Drosophila melanogaster: one gene and its partners. The gene in region 2 interacts genetically with the main gene of each other region. Each region holds a gene or a part of one and is shown on either strand. Other genes may lie near its edges.

Region 1 (8,062 bases), on a different chromosome or scaffold from region 2:
CCTTGCCGATCTTCTTAATAGTGCCAATAACAAATAGCCCATTAACTGAGTATCAGTGTATTTGAAACCGAAATGTTGCATGTTTTATACACCCGAAAGCCCTATTCAAGTCGATTATTGCACAGCCGTCGGGTAAATTGTAAAAAAGAGGCCAAGTTATAACGCTTTACTTTTTAGACCCTTGCAGAAGGTATATATCTTCCAGTCAGAAGTTTTCAGGGCTTAAAGGGTTAAAAGGCACTTTCTTCATTCTTGATCAGTTTTACCAGCCAAGTCCGTCTGTTCATCCAGTTTTAAGGATTCTAGCCTCTCAGTTTTAAAGCTGTTTGCATGAAAAGACTTCCTCCTGAAATATGTAAGTAAGAAAAGGGAATAATCGGTCCTCTATTTCTTATAGCTTCCATAGGAATAATCGAAAAATAAATGAAATAAAAATGGAATATATAATTCCCGTTTTAATTTGTATTATATTTTTTCTTGACATATACATATGTAATTTCTGCAAGGGTATATGAACTTCGGCCTGCCGAAACCAACCTCCTGTCTTGTTTCATTTATGTATATTATTACTTTTTCTGAATGGGGCTTGAAATGAAATGAATTAATCCTAATTAATCGTTCTTATACTAAACCGATTCTAACCAATTCCAATTCTCATTTTATTTCTCAAATGTTTCATGCTCAAATTGGTCTCGTTTACTCTAAATATGGCTTAATTTCTATTTGATTCGGTGTGCACTGTAATCCATCTATCTAAACTCCGTTTTCAATCCGCCTAACTAACTAACCTATCTATGTTTTCTGTAAGCTCTCTTAACTCTTGTTTTTTATCGATTGAATGTGCCATCCATGTAATTTAATTGTTTAATTGTGTTATAAACATTTGGCATTTCAAACCTTTTCACCATCCTGCTACGTTTACCTTCTAAATCCTTAAATTTCTGCGTGTGCTTCTATATGTGTGTGCTATCACTATTATAATCCATCCTACCAATAACTAAAATAACAACAAACCAAAAACAAACAAAAATCGAAAAAAAAACACAAATCAAACCACGAAACGCTGCTCAGAGCTCTAGTATGTCCAAGGTCCATGGAACTGAAGGATCTGGCCGGTCACAGCCACAATTTGGATGTCCATGTGCTGGGAACCGAGGAAACCTGGAATACGCCCAGCTTGATGTTGGCCAAAAGCCTGCAGAGCGGCGGAAAGGCCGTCTTCTCCCAAGTAAGTGATTGCTCATGTAAATATAACAAACATATATTAAAAAAAAACATTCCTATGAAACAAAAAAAAAAACAGGTGCACTTGGAAATGAATCCCAGCGAATTTGAATCCGATGAGACTAAGTACTCCATTCTAAAGCAAAACGAGCGAACTCGCCTCGAGATATTTGCGGATCTCCTGGGAAAGTACTTGGATGTGCAGGTCCGCGGTGGAGACGGTGTCGACCAGCCGCAGCCTGGAGTTGTCTACAAGCACGCATATTTCCTAGGTCGGCACGAGGTCAGTTCGTCTCTCCATTTGTTTTGGCATCAGAATCCAATATTCTAGCTCTTTTTGTTATTCAGGCCAAGTTTGAGCTTCTGGAGAAGCTACGTCTGCGCTGCAGCGGATCCGACAACGTGATAGCAACGCCGAACCTGACGATGAAGTTCTGTGGCAAGGACGATAAGCCTCCAGTGGCCAACAACAATGTCCTGCCCATACTCATACATTCCTGTCCGGATGACTTCTCCACCGTGGATTACTTCGATGTGAGCGCATTCTAATTCTAGTCTATAGCAGAATTAACCCAAATTCCTCTTATTTTAAAGAATCTTAAGACGGAACACATCGGACGACTGGTCATCTATGCACCGGTGGTCAGCAGCTCCATGCATCTCATAAACAACCTGGAGCTCATCCACGGCCTGGCTGTGCTCCCCGTGCAGCAGACGTCCGGAGTGGGTCGCAGAAATAATCAAGTTAGTACTCTAGAAGCATCCAGATTTAAGTTCTTGTTGAAATCATCGCTTTGTGCTTTCCAGTGGCTTAGTCCGCCGGGCTGTGCCATGTTCTCGCTGCAGCTGCACCTGACCATGGACAGCGCTTTGAGCTCTCGGCTGCCTCTGTTGCAGCACCTTGTTGGAACGGCGATTGTTAATTCGCTCCGCAGTCATGAAGAGTACGGGGTGAGTCAAGACTGTAAAGTTTTACCATTTAGTTGAATCTTAAGTTAAGATTGTTTCGATTATCTCCGCCTGTGGGACGATGGGACGAACCTCAGGATCTGTAAAACTGCCAAGTGCACAAAGTGATTTTTTAGGTTTAATAAGTTTATTTGACATTTTGTTTCGATTTCGCATTTAAAGTCCATTTACTATATACACTTGACCATACATAATTCACAATATATATTTAATTTAACACTAGTCCGTCATATACAATACATTGCTGCTGTATATACATGTATATATATATATATATATATATATATATATATATATATATATATAGTTCTCTTACACATAATTAACAATTTAGAAATTGCTCACCTGATTAACGTTTACATTTATGTTTGCCACAGTGCTTGTTTGTTTGTTTGTATATGTATGTCTATGCCTTCTCTGTTTGCCTCTGCTCTTAAACATTTAAGCGTTTTGTCTTTTTCGAGTTAACATTTGATTTGCCTTTGTTTCGTTTGCTAACAACTGCAACTGGAGTGCTCCCGATACATGCCTACACATATGTATGTAGTTTTTAAAATGGATTGCTATAATTTGGTAGTTACGTTTATGTATTTACAATCTTCGCTCGGCTCGATAGAACTTCGCCTTGGGAGAGAGTTTGTGTAGAGTGGACGAGGGCACAAAGCGAGCTAGCTTAGTTGGTAGATCGAAATTGTACTAGACAGTGACAGTGGCCATGCTGCAGTTCCCTCAGAACACGGACTCGGCGGAACGGGAAAGGTTGACGGGGTGGGAGGGACTGCGCGCCAGACGCTTCTTGGGAAGATGCTCCAGCAGGGAGAGCAGGCGTGCGAACTGCGGCCGGTGCTCCTTCTCGTAGGTCCAGCACAGCATCAGCAAGTCCTTGACATCCCGTCCAGACTGCAGGTTGGCCAGCGACTGCTTCATCCCACGGCCAACCTGCCAGATGATCGATTCCGCCGGCTGATCCTTGAATGTGAACTCGCCGCAGATTAGCTCGTACCAAACGGTTCCGAAAGAGTAGACATCGGAGTATGGGGTGAACTCCAGACACTCTCCACGCGGCTTCTCCGGCTGCAATGCTCGGATTAGCTCCGGCGCCAGGTAGCACAACCAGTTGTGGGGCACTCCTAGGCCCATATCACAGTAGAGCAGCTTGGTGGAGCTGAACAGCCCAAAGTCCGTGATAATCACCTTGCCGTTCTCGATGAAGATGTTCTTGGTGCGCAGATCTTTGTGGATGATCTCCCTTGCGTGCAGGTAGCCCATGCCCTGGGCGATCTGCTGGGCAATGAGGAGAGTCCGGTTCATGGCAAACTTCTCCCGACGCTGGTGAATATACGTATACAAGGTGTTGCCCTTGCACAATGAAGTCACAATGGCCAAATATGGTGGGTTCATGCAGGCTCCCATGAACAGCACCAGGTTCTCGTGTCGAGTGTTCTTGAAGTTGGCTACCTCGCTGCGAAACGTCTCCAGCATGTGTTCGTCTTGCAGATAGTCCTCGTTGAGCAGCTTAACCGCCACATCTCCGTGCCAAAGGGCTCGATGCACGGTGCCGAAGCGTCCCTGCCCTATCCGCTCGAGCAGAAGCAGATCACCATACGGGATGTCCCATTCCTTGAGTGAGATCGAGTTCTGGCGCCATTGTCCCGAGTCTCCGTCTTCCGTTGAATCCACACGAACGGGTGTCCGGTCCGAGTCCGTGCTGGCACTTCCAGACAAGGAGACTGTCTTGTCGCTGTCATTTGACTTGTGGGTATCCGTGTACTCGCTGGTGAACGGCGTCCTCTTATCCACACCGGCTGTGCTCAATTTTCGCGGAAAGAAACTGCAGGTGCTGGTGGTGGTTGTGCTATTGACCAGACTGCCCGTCAAGGTGGCCGCAGTAGAAGCGTTTGAAGTTTGGCTACCGATGAGCGAGCTCATGTGCCCGTTGGAGCTGCTCACCAGACTATCAAGTCCTCCGTTGGCTGTTGCAGGCGCCGTGGGGAATTGCTCTGGCACTGGTTCATTGGAGATGAGCGATACACCACCGCTTCCGCCACTGCTCGTCACCGTCACGTTGGGAAAGTTGAATTGACTCGGCTGGTGCTTGCCAAGCGAAGGCGTAGGTAACAGATTGGCGCTAGAGCTGCTGCCCGCCTGATCCAGCTCGCGCTCCCTTTGCTGGAACAGCGCCGGACTGCTGGGCGTGGAACTAGTGCAGCTGGAACTCGGCGAACTGCTATCGCCGTGCTGCTGATGCAAGGGCTTACCCAGGGTGCTCTTTTTTACCAAAGGGGATCCTTTCGCCGCGCCATGCACATGCGGCAGACTGGCGTATCCTCCCTGCTCCTTTATGTGCCGAAACTCGTCCACATATTCTCGTGGAAGTCCACAGGAGGGCGGTACGTGCGGTGCGCATGACTTGTGGCAGATGTACTTGCAGTCGGTGCACTTCATCCAGCGGTGAAAGACCTGCTTCTGGCACAGGGTACAGGTGGCCATGAAGCCCAGGGCCTTGGTGAAACGATGCTTGATTGCATGACCCATGCCCACGTGACCCACGCCCGGAGAGCATGGCACCATAAGCACGTTCGAGGAACTTCCTCCGGAGCTGGCATTAGTATTTGGGTCCACAAAGATGTCCGAGCTGGTGGAGCTGTGGCTATCGGGGCTGGGATCAGTGGGCAAACGGTTGCGGGCTAATTGCTCCCCGTCCACTTGCACATGACTCTGGCTCAGCAAGGTCTGGTGCTTTCTAGCTGGCGGCGGGGTACCACGACTCCTCTGTGGTGTTCCATTAAGGCTGCTGCTCAGCCCACTGGAAGGCGTGAAGGGCGAATTGGGTGGCGAGGGCGTAAGGGTTAAAGTCAGCTGGGAACCCTGTGTGCTGTTCAGCTCTTCTGTCGCTGAGGGCGATTGGCGGCCACTTTTGAAGTTGGTGGAGTTGGCCAGAGCGGAATTCTTTCCCTTGACACCATGCTGGCGATGATGGGTTCTCGGGGAGGCGGTTGAATTGTTACCCAGTCCAATGTTTCCCACACTGCCGCGATGAATGTGGGTGGGCCTGTCCCAGGAGTCCCAGTGCCACTGCTCTGGATCGTTGTTGCTAGCCGCAGTACCGCTCTCCAGCGACTCCATGCACTTCCTTAAGTTCTGCATGGCCCTGGTCAGGCGTCGCAGTTCCTCCTCCTCTCGCTGGCTGGGGCTGTCAGCCAGGAGTTGACGGATCTCCTCGTCGCTGAGACGCAGGCTTTGCTCTAGAGTGGTCAGGCGAGCAAGGCAGGCGGTAAGAGTCCCCTGGCTAAGGCCCACTACGCGCAGCCATTGCCTCAGTTCGTTGCCCGTTGTGTGGGGCACAAGCCCGTTGGCCGGGATGCGCTCATTTAGCCGCATCTTCGCCAGCAGCAGCTCGGAGAAGTATCGCACCAGCTTCGACTCCAGGCAACGAATCTCCTGCTGCGTCAGCGTGGAGCTGATCGCGCACTGCGTTCGCAGGCCCTCCAGATGGTTGGCCGAGAGATCAATCATGTCCTGAATGATAACCAGGTTGCTGTCTACGGACAGCGAACCGGAGATGGGATCGTTGGCATTGGTGGAGCCCGTGTCTGGAGCCGATGCGGGTGCGTTGTTGTTGCTGCTCATCCTGCTTATTCGCGACGGAGTGGAGCCCGATTGATTTTTTCAGACGCCCCCTCGGGGACTCGACGATTCGATGGGACCAATGGCTGGGACTCCGCCCCGCATTGTGGCCCTCGCCAAGCGACCTTGACGTTCGGTGCTCCGGCTATCGCGCACGCTAACGCCCGCAACTCTAAACGGCTTAGGCAATGCGAAAAAGCAATAATTTGTACAAGTTCCTCGGCTGTTGTTGAAATTTCTCTACACCCAAGTAGCGCATCGAGAGAAGTGTGACCATACCCGGGAGGACTCCTTCTCACTGCACACCAAAATGTACTAAAAGCACTTATCCGAAAAACTTAGGGGCACTCCTCTGTATTTAAAAAAAATAGAACGTTAAGTATTATTATTCTTATGTTGTAATTATATTATGTCTTCGAGTGTATATAGCATATATATTTCAATTCTATTTGAAAAATTAATCCAGAAATTATTTTCACATTTTTATTTTATTAGTCGAAATAAGTCAAATATTTTAATATTTATATTTTATTATTTGGAAATGGAAATTAGGTAGATATTATTTTAATATTTTAATTTTATAACTAAAAATAATTTTTTTAAGTTAATATTTGATGTTCCAATTTATATTTTATGATATGTAATATTACGGAGATAGGCGAGTTTTACTTAATTTATTCATATCACCTTCAGGTGCTGGATATTTCCATTAAGTGGCCGAATGACATTTATGCAAATGGAAATCAGAAAATTGGGGGCCTCGTCATTAATACCACACTTCAGGGATCCCAAGCCATCGTCAATATCGGAAGTGGAATTAATTTGAACAATTCAAGACCAACAGTTTGCATCAATGACTTGATAAGAGAATATAATACCCGTGTCCCGAACAACAAGTTACCTATACTTAAGTACGAGCTACTTATTGCCATGATATTCAATGAAATCGAAAGACTTTTGGGAGAAGTACAAAACGGAGACTTTGATAGTTTTTATGCATTATACTATTCGCTATGGTTACACAGGTAAATTTAAAACATTTTTAAAATACATTTAATTTGCATATTACATTTACTAACATGTTTTTATGTACAGCGGGCAATCTGTTAAGATTTGCCTACAAAAAGATCAGGAAAAAGAGGCCGAAATTGTGGGAATCGATGACTTTGGATTTTTGGAGGTGAAATTACCAACTGGTACTATAGAAATTGTGCAGCCCGATGGAAACAGCTTTGATATGTTGAAGGGATTGATTATACCCAAGTATCAATAGTGAAATGAAGCAGATGTGAAAACTCATATTATTCCCCGAACCCTCTAGTTTAATTGGCCCTTAAGCAACTTGTACTTTTTAGGCAAATTTAGGTCAATTTATAACTACGTAAAAACGTTTATCCTTATAAATATTTACAAGGTGATTCTTCTTAAGTGGCTTTACGAAATAATAATGGATAATTTAATCCACTAAATTAAATACTGCCAAAGAGAATTATATGTTAAAGGAAGTCTCAAAATATTTATAATGACAGGTACATTTGTTTGTTCCCTATAAACCAGTGTTTGGAAATTACTTCGTAAGATAATCGCGTTTGTTACCATTGTTATCGCCATCGATTCCTCTGCATACGGGTGTTTTTGAAATTTGAATTTAATAAATACATATTCGATCATTGCTGACCTTAGACCACTGAGATTAACTGCCGCACAGGTCTTATCTTAAATTTAAGATGGATTTTTTTATTACATAATTTTTTTATTCTAAAATTGTTTATTTTATTATTCTTCTAAAATTTTTTTTTGAACTGAACTTTCATTAGAAAGTTATATTTTTTAAAATTTTTTTGAACTGAACTAAAGAGAGCTTGACAGTGTAGTTTCCTATAAAATTGTCAACACTGGTGATGCGAAGACTTGGTATAATTCCAAGTATGTGAGTTGGTTACACTGTTGCTTTGCTGGAAAAGAAAATTGTGGAATAAAACGGAGTCTGCGGCATTGGGAATTATGTCACAGCGAAATCACAGAGTGGACCGCTTCGCCCAGATGACAAAGCAGGAGGAGATCATAGCCAAGAAACGGCAAGAGATCCTCGAGAAGCAGAAGACGGCACAGCTGGCGAAGGCGGTGGCCGCGGCGCAGAACTTGGCAGCGCAGCTGAAAACCGAGACGACTGTGGGAAAACCCATTGGCAACGAGGTGGAGTATGAGGAGGATGCCCGATACCTGGACACCGCCGTCCAGG
Region 2 (4,898 bases):
GCCGAAACGCGCATGACTCCAGTACCGGGAACACTCGCTCCCGGCGAGGCGGTGACCGCACCCATGATCTCCGCCGCCGCTCCAATGCCGCCCAAGCCAGATCCACTGTAGCGAAAGGCGCACTGATCCTGCTCCTTCAGCTTGCCCTGCGCCAGCGTAACGAGATTCTGTGCACGATCATGAAACATCATCGTATTTATTATAGCAATACACTGTGTACTAGGTTAGTGTTAATTGGACTTACCCGCACAGCATCCTCGAGAAGATCAATGACTTCCCGCACATTCTCGTTGCTCAGGGAGGCGCACTCGCCGCTGTCCTCGGAGAGCATCACCTCGTCGCAGAGCTTGATGAGCTTGCCCAGGCTCTGGTAAACCTGCAGCGTGGCGCTGCTCATGATGGCACTGTTTTCATTCAGGGTATAGGTTTGGATCACTGCGGCAGCAAAGGAAAGCAACTGGATTAATTACAAAACGAGGAAATTGGGGTAGTAGATACTCACCGGAGTACATGCTGGCTATGGTTTCCAGAATGACCGTTCCGTTGCCCGGCAACACCTCCAGCTTCTTCTTGAGTATAACATCCCGGAAGTGCTTCAGGGCATTCGAAATGTCCTTGACGTGCGTCTCCAGGGTTTGGGTGGACCGTAGCACCTCCTCGGTGGTGGGCGGTGCCTTTGTGCCGTGCTTGGTGCGCGGACTGTGCGGCGAGTGGGAGCGACCCAGTGTATTGTTGGTGGTTCGCATCAGGGAAATCTTCTCGATGAGGTCGTCCTTAAAGGAACGCGCCCGGCGCGCTAGCTTGGTGCCCTTGAGACTGTTCTTGTGGCCCGAGGATCCGGCACTGGGTGGTGCCGGTGGTACACCACCACCTCCGCCTGCTCCTGCTCCCCCTACCCGACTAGATCCTCCCGGCGTGCCCTGCAGCTGCTGGTGCTGCGAGTGATGCTGATGCGTGGGTGGTGGCGGAGTGCAGGCGGTGGAGTAGCTGCCGCTGTTGATGCTATTGTTGCTGCTGCTGCTGCAGCCGCCACCGCCCACTCCGATGCCACTGGAACAGGTGCCGGGCGTGGATGGAGAACTGATGCTGCCGTCTGCAAAAAGAGCAAGAAATCGGGGATTATTAATCTAAGGTAGGTACACTTAATCAATTCATAGGCATTAGATAACAATATACGTTTTTGGGTAACAATAATAAGAGACTAAGACTGGAATCTAGATCCTATATATATACACATATCATGGGCTTAGAGTCTTTCCTGTTCGAGCCGCATTCTTGAATGCCAATTTGAAAATCAAAAGTTGCTCCATATAAAACCACAATCTTTTGCAATATATGGCAATGTTGGTATCGTTTCGTTTCTTACTTTTCTTCATTTGGTTAGGTAAGATGAATATCTTAAGGTCATCGTATACATCATTCTAAAGTGGCTAAGCCAGCAGCGAAAATGAAAATCTTTCAGAGTTAGCCAAACAGCTTGAGGAATCTTGAAAAGATTCATCATTACCCCTTCACAACACAATATATGTACATATGTACTCATTCGAATCTTGAAACGTGTCTACTTAAATGTGAAATAATTGCAATTGAAATCAACATATGTAATACGGAATTCCTAGCATTCCCCATTTCGGGAATCGTTCATGCGAGCCCAAACATTTTAGTTTCGGAACTTTTTTAAAGATCCAAAACAGCGAGAAACCGATGAGCACCACCCACCAAGCGAAAAGACCGGCGAGTAGCTTTCACTTACGGCACACCGCATTCTTGAGCGGCACAGGTGTGTCCATCTCCATATCGAACTCCCTATCCACGGTCACATTCACATCGACATCCACATCCATCTGCAGTGGAATCGCTGGCGTTGATAGCGCCAATCGTGCCAGCTTTTTGTATTTGCGACGTCTGTGGAATTTGATGCTATGCAACGTGTTGCCGGTGGCACTGATGCTGTTGCAGGTGTTACTGCTGTTGCAGTTGCAGTTGTTGCTTGTGAGGCTATGATTGTTGTTGGTGTCGCGCGGCGACCACGACTGCCGCTGAGTCTTCCAAAGACGATGATGATTGTGATGGTGCTGTTGATGATGATGATGATGGAGTTGGTGCTGATGGTCATCGTGGCTGGCACCGCTGGGATACGGATTCCGATTCCGATTCGGTTTCGGACTCGGATGTGGCGGCAATTGCTTGACCGTGTACGAATAGAAATGCCAGCGGTCGGCGAGCGCACAGTCGCTCAAAAAAGATTCATCAAACTGCGGCATAATGTTGCATAATGACAGCAGCAGCAGCAGCAGCAATAACAACAGCAGCAACAGCGACAGCAACACGCATAACAACAATTTGTTGTGGCTTAAATATGCTTGGCCAAAAGACACACACGTTGGCCTAACTGATTTCTCCAAATAGCGATAAGCGATAGCAGCAACATCGTTTTCGTATAAGATTGTTGATTTAAGCGATTGCCGTCGCGATTACAACATCAATTCATTTTTCTGTTTCGGCATGTTTTACATTGATTATTTCACTTTCAGTTTTCGGTTGTTTCAGTGTTTTCGGAAAAAGTTTTAAGCACTGATAAAAGCTATATCCGATGTGCTCTGCCAGCAGGAAGTAGATTTCAATTGCTTTCTCATCATGTTCGTTCACTTTTGCAATTCGTTCGATAGTCCGATAGGCAATTCAAGCGATTACCGATTCAAGCTTCCTGTGGCAACCGCAAGAATTGTTCTGGACACTCTTTGTTTGACTGAAATACAAGTATGCCAGCTTAGAGATCACTTCAATTGGCCATAGTGATTTCCGTATATTATTTTCTTTAATGTTTAAAAGCCATCAAGCCCTAATTTCCGTTTCTTACTGCCTGCCCGATTGTGGTAAATTGAAGGTAATCAACTCCAAAGCCACTTGTCTTTTGCTTTACTTATATTTCAAGTGCGATTTCCGCAATTTTCCCCAATAGCTTTCCATTCGCCGCACAGTCACTTTTGCATTTCTGAACTTGAAATTTCAACAGGCTTCGGCTGATTGATTCAATCGCCGATAAGCGATAAGCTAACACTTTTGGCCTGCCACTCTCAGTGCAATTTCTTTCACTTTTCAAGTGCAATTTGGCGCTCTTTTCTTTGATTTTTCATCATCCATCCATCCATCCATCTCGTTGGCGCACCGCCCCCGCAGTGGGCTATCTATCTGGTTGGCCTCTGGGTGAGGAGATGTTGATTAAATAAATCACAAATAAAGATGATTATATTTAGACACTGGCGCTCTGCTGCTGCTGCTGCGGCGGCTGTCGTCGTAGTCCGTTCGCGATGTTGTCGTTGTCGACTGGAAAGCGCACTGAACTATGAAAATCCGCAAAACGGGCAAAGCCAAAGACGACCGACCGACTGAAAGACCGACCAGGCGGCAAAAGCGAGTGTCCGAGTCTTGGAGACCCGCTAACCGGCCAACGGCAATGGCAACACATTAGCAATATAGCAATACAGCAATAGCAGCAACAACAGACGCAGCAGCAGCAGCAGCAGCAACACGAGAGCCGCCGAGGGGGCAAAAAAAAAAAAGAGCCCCAAATGGCACTTGCCCACCTGGCAATCGCCCTCTCACCATCTCTCCTGATCTCTCCTGCTGCTCTCGCCACATCGCTCTTTCTCTTTCCGAGATTCATCAAACAAATCATACATGTTCACATCACTGATGGACCAAACGGGTGCTACAAACGTATCCATTCAATGTGGCTCGGAAATCGTGCAAATATTCAGTATATATTTACGATAATATTTCTATTTTAAAATGACAAGTTACTTTACTGTTTATACTTGCAGGTACACCCCCCTTTCTCGCAGTGCAGTCCGCGGTTTGCGGCTCTTTTCACCCGGGAGGCTGCTCTCCAACCGTCGGCCTCTCCGCCCAATTATCAATCAGCTGGCGCACCTGAGAAAGAGCCCGTGGCGAAGGGTGAGGGGGCGGTAATTGGGGGCGACAAGGGAGTGGTAAAGGGGGGGGGGTGAGGTGGATGCGGGGCAAGAGACAAGAAGACGCCGGGCGGATTTCTTCAATTTGCAAGTGCCGCTCGTGACTTGCCTTGGAAATCAACTAGCTGCTGCGCAAATGGGCGAAAATCGAAGGCGTCGCCAAAAGTGAGTACAGCAAGCAAGAAAATAAATAAGAAAATAAATATAAAAAAAATATATAAAAAACTATATATCTCAAGCAAAAGCTTACAACAAAACAAGAGAGCAAGTCAATAAGCCCCCACTAACTGAAATGTATATGGAAAGCAGGAAAAAAACAACCCAAGTGGATCGGGTTAGCGGCCAAAAAGAAAGGCCATCCTTGTAATGGGTAATGGCCAAAGGGTGGAACTGAATCCTTGGCTTAAGGTTAAGGCCAAGTTGAAATCCTAGCCAATGGCTCAATTAAAATAGAATAAAGCTTGCCTGCGTCCAGTGAAAAGTTCGAATATCAAGGTCGTCGTAGTTCGTTGCCTCTCTAATAGGACCTTAAACGAGCTTCGACTTTCTATGAATTTAAAACTAGTCATGCCTAGTAGTGCTAGTTGTTTCAACAAAATTAGCTTTGAATTCCAATAAAAACTGTTAATTAAAATCGAATAACATTCTGGAGAATTGTAAAAAACAAAGAGCGGGCAATGCTTTACATTAATTTCCGGGAACTAGCAATTGCGAAAAAATTTCAGTTTTTGACCCAGTGCCCGAAATGGGCTTTGTTTTCGGGCACTCGGTCAGCCACCACCCACTCCTCCAGTACGAGATGGCAGCACTAGGGAGCAGCAGCAGTCACGTTCACCCAATTAATTTGGCACACCGCACAAATGGGAAATTGTAAGAGCAGCCAGGCCGGCGAAGACCCCAAAAACCAAAACCCGATATCACTTG
Region 3 (4,270 bases), on a different chromosome or scaffold from region 2:
GCTTTGCTTGTTTTTTGCATTTAATGGCCGCACTTTTTTGCACGGCACTCTCCAAATTGTTTTTAAAATGCTAACTTTTTTCTTGGCGCTTTAACTTATTTATATGTGTTCGCGGCAAAATATTTTACTTTGTGCTTTGGTTTACGCTTCAAAGAAACATAAATATGGGAAATGGAAATTATTAATTTTTTACATGTTTTCAACGGTTGGGAATTAATCAACGTTCGGCGAAAAAAATTGCAAATTCAATTAAAAATGTTTATTAATGTTTCAATACTCGAAATATATAGTTTTGCGATAACGTCGCTCTGGGCCATGCTAGATTATTTATGTGGTGCGAATAAGATTTTGGCCTGGCTTTATATTTAATTAGCCGAATTTCATATATGGAAATAATGGGTGTTTTCTGAGAGTATCTTTTGGTGATTCAATAAATCAAGTATTGCACTTGAGATGTCAAGTACTCTTGTTAGCCGCATATAATTCAACAACACATACACAACATGTTAGAGATCCAATTATTATTAGTTCTTCAACTGTAGTGAATAATGAAAAAAAATACAAAATAAAATAAAAAAGGGTGACTGCATCCATTCTCGATGTCTCAGTCATAAGACTTTCACTATAGGTGAGTACTGCTAAGGTTGACCTGAAACAGGAAGTATTCAGTGAAAGATTTGTATGATATGTTTGATTGCTTGTATTGAGTTTGGCTTATTCGAATATGAAATTCTATCCAAATCCGTTAAAGGGAAACCATAGGTCTTACCATTGATCTAAAGTAGGTCTTAACAGAAGACCATCCCAGATTGGACGAGCTGTCCCAGTGACGGTGATTGTACCGGTCCTCAAAGTCATAGGTGCTGCCCAACGAAGTGGGAAGGGGATGGACCTCCAAGAACTGAGACCAAAATCCGGCAGGCATCAGAAGTAGCACCTTCAGCACCCGCTGCCAAGTGACGACATTTTCGAGGGTTAGATCCAGATCTCCGAACAGAGTTGGAGCGAAGATCACGGCAAGATTGTTGACCGTCATGCGGACAGCAGGACTTTCGGCAATTTTCTGCCAGTGAAGCATTAAGTAGGCCAACGTATCCCTGTGAGCCTGATGCAGCTCCAGAACCGCTAAATATACCGCCATCTCCACAGCCAGACGATCTTCGTGCCGCGTGGCCTCCTCGAAATCCCTTCGGTGGTAAATGGGAATCAGAGGGTGAACCAACTGCCGAAGAAAGTCCTTAACACAACAGCACAGTGTGTGGGTGTCTTTATTGCCCAAATGCGGCGTGGACTTGCCACGCAGCAGCTTCCGACGCAGTCGTTTGCATTTCTCTCGGGTGGAGGACACCCGGTAGAGTCCCTCCTGCTGCAATCCCCGCGCCTCGATCTCCGTTACACAATGGACAATTAAGGCCGGCACCATGGGCGCCACCCGAGGCGCATAATCGCTGAGACATCCTCTCTTCGTACCGATTTGAGGCTGGGGGATGCAGTTCACCGTCAGCTGGCGGCAGCAACCGATGTGGCAGCGGAGCGGACACGCCCGACACCTCAGGCTGGCCATGGCGAAGCGGATCCTGGAAGAAGACCAGGGACACGCGGTTAGGGAGGTAAATGCTGGTCAGAGAGGGTTGGGATGTTATTTAACTTTTCATGTTTTCCCTGAATTCGAAATCCTCTCAGAAGTTCCACCATTCGGTGATTGCAACTCACCTTTTGCGGCAGTGTACGCAGTTCCCCACGTTGTAGTAGTAGGACTTAATCTTGAAATTGTGCTCCCTCAGCAGCCCCGAGTGGGACTGCGAGCAGAAGTCGAGTCCGTCCGTGGATAAGCCATCGCAGCCACTGGGATTCATGTCCACGCGATCCTGCAGCGAGTCCAGGGACTGCGATCCAAACATGCGGTAGTGCTCGCTGAGGTCATCGTAGGACCTGTACTCCCGCAGAAGCCTCCGTTTGTTCTGCATCGTGGGGCGAACGGGCGACAAATAAAGTCGATTTGAGGGCGTCCGACTCCCAGAGCCACTAATCATAAAGTTGGCGAATTGATTCAGCTGTTCTGGTCAGTTGGCAATTTCCGAAGAGAGGCCACTTCGGCTTGAGTCAGCTACGCAGAAGTTATCGGCTCGCTTCTCCGAATACTCGACCGAAATGTTTATTTACTCTTACGGTTTATTTGGAATCGGGTGAAAGCTGATAGCTTAAATAGTTCTGGCAGCACAAAAATTCGATCACCCATAGAGAGTGCCTACTGTGGGTCGTACATTTGTAAATATTTCTGGATAATTCATACACACATCTAGGGTGCTCCGCAGAAATTTAATGGGCGACTAAGGTGTTACTAAGAAATATCAAAAATGCTGTTTTCAATACAAAAAAAAAGTGAATCAAATTATTATAAACATTTTTTGTGCCTAACAATAACAGATATTTGCCCTGTCTTCTTCATATAAACAAGTCAGTGGTGATCTTTTTATATTTTCGATTCAATTAAATCGTTAAAGACAATCAATCACACCGAGATTCAATGTCACGATACAAAAGCTAAAAATCCCTAAAAACAAAAAGAATGTAGAAAATCGAACTAAAAAAACAATTTGCTAAAGTATCTATGAATTCTAAGCGCCCAGAAAATGGCTCAATGGCGCCGCTAAATGGATGAAAAATTCATGGAAAACCGTTTTGCGGCCACCAGACATAGAATGCAACCAGCAAAAATGTAGCACGAAAAAATGCTGCAGTTCATGTGAGGCCGGAACGTCAGAAAGCGAAAATGTTGAGTAAACGTGCTGCTAAAAAAACACAAAAATTAGAATTTAAAGGGACTTCGAGCTTGGAACTTTTGTGGAAAACGAAACATGGATCTGTCTGTTGATTTAATGGCATCATTGGCATTGATTTTTATGCGATTTTAAAGTTTGGATAGAGTAAAAACAAAATTATCATGGCACTTTTCAGTTTTGGGCTGTGAATTGAAGAGCAGCGCCAGCAAAATTAACGAGCAAGGCGGGGAATTGGATTTTTATGCTTTTTTGTAGTCGTTTTTTAGGCGTCAGCTGCATTGACGCCGGTGTGCCTATGTGTGCGTGAGCATTTGAGGGTGTGGGTTTAGGTGTGTGTGAGCTTTGGGCTGAAATACTAAGGATGGTTGCCACTGCCACATTGAATTCGTAGTTATTAATGCGTATTGAAATGCACACATTGCAGTGAGTGAGAGTGTCTCTCTCTGTGATTATGCGGCGTGTGTGTGGGCGTAGTATTCATAATTGCACTTGTGTGGGCTTCTATCTGTGTCCGACTGTTTTGTTTGTATTCAAAGTCCACAAATACGAGTCACGCATCGCAATAAGCCCATGCAATCCCCTGCCTCACTCCTCACTCCACTTTTCCCAAAATGCTTTTTTGTACTTTTTCTGATTCGCCTCTGACTGTGTGTGTTCAAATACGTGTGTGGCCCTATGTGTGTGTCTGTCCGTTGCGTATTCCAAAAAGCAAAAAAAAAAAGTACAGAAACACAACAAAACAGCATAAAAAATGTTTGGACATCCACAAAACATACAAAAAAGAGGGGAGTTCTGGGCAAAAACGAGTGGGAAAAAATGGCATCAAAGCACGTTGACAGTGTTGCCACGTGGTGATAATTAATTTTTCACACACAAAAGTTGATCAAAATGTTTTTATCCGGTGCCTCCAAAATTTAAGGAATTATTTGGTTGCATCGAGCTCAAAATATTTCAACTTTAAAGCTTCTTAACAGAATGAAAAAGTTTAACGCAATTGTTATAGATTCAGGATGTTGCTTAAAAACATCTTAGCACATGGTTTTCTGTACTAAAACCATGAAATCAGCAATTAATTAATTAAAAGTCTCAGATGTATATCATTTAGCTACTAGGGAACACTCTTAAAATATCCACATAGAAATAGAAATATTAACACCCACCAGTATGTGGGATAAAACTAGATATTCAAATTCTGAAAAGCTGGCCTACACATAAGATGACCAATATGATTTTAAGGACAAAAAATCAGTTCACTAAGTGACCTTTTGTGAATTGAACTATAAATCGCAAAACAACCTGTTAAAGAATTCCGCCTCAATCGTCGCTTTGTCTAACCCAATTCTAGTTGGGCACTAAAAACAACAATTTATAATAAATTGTATTTTTCAATGGCAACTCTGCTATTTTTTAAGACTCTTCCTCTCCCTTTCTTTCTGCCGCCGGCCAGGATGCAAAAACCTAAAAAACAAAATCTAAAAGCGAAAACA

Evidence for each region.
Region 1: of C3G (region 2) and ksr, changing one suppresses a phenotype caused by changing the other (phenotypic suppression), as found in Drosophila melanogaster (one study listed by BioGRID).
Region 3: of C3G (region 2) and RacGAP84C, changing one enhances a phenotype caused by changing the other (phenotypic enhancement), as found in Drosophila melanogaster (one study listed by BioGRID).

What each region holds. Positions count from the first base shown.
Region 1 is NT_033777.3:5,477,815-5,485,876, forward strand, and holds ksr (kinase suppressor of ras), read right to left. Parts: upstream 6,093-8,062; 5' UTR 5,824-6,092; coding exon 2,923-5,823; 3' UTR 2,176-2,922; coding exon of another isoform or gene 2,032-2,175; 3' UTR 1,969-2,031; coding exon of another isoform or gene 1,819-1,968; 3' UTR 1,759-1,818; coding exon of another isoform or gene 1,573-1,758; 3' UTR 1,508-1,572; coding exon of another isoform or gene 1,304-1,507; 3' UTR 1,229-1,303; coding exon of another isoform or gene 1,072-1,228; 3' UTR 576-1,071; downstream 1-575. Other genes in the region: Hcs (holocarboxylase synthetase), read left to right, coding at 1,072-1,228, 1,304-1,507, 1,573-1,758, 1,819-1,968, 2,032-2,175, 6,514-6,845, 6,916-7,093; CG31550 (uncharacterized protein), read left to right, coding at 7,825-8,062.
Region 2 is NC_004354.4:6,787,959-6,792,856, forward strand, and holds the start of C3G (C3G guanyl-nucleotide exchange factor), read right to left. Parts: upstream 3,078-4,898; 5' UTR 2,265-3,077; coding exon 1,754-2,264; intron 1,094-1,753; coding exon 503-1,093; intron 436-502; coding exon 245-435; intron 168-244; coding exon 1-167. UniProt on the Drosophila melanogaster protein: Guanine nucleotide-releasing protein that binds to SH3 domain of Crk. Transduces signals from Crk to activate RAS. Also involved in MAPK activation.
Region 3 is NT_033777.3:7,283,868-7,288,137, reverse strand, and holds RacGAP84C (Rac GTPase activating protein at 84C), read right to left. Parts: upstream 2,177-4,270; 5' UTR 2,034-2,176; coding exon 1,714-2,033; intron 1,578-1,713; coding exon 770-1,577; coding exon of another isoform or gene 746-769; exon of another isoform or gene 687-745; intron 650-686; coding exon 623-649; 3' UTR 509-622; downstream 1-508.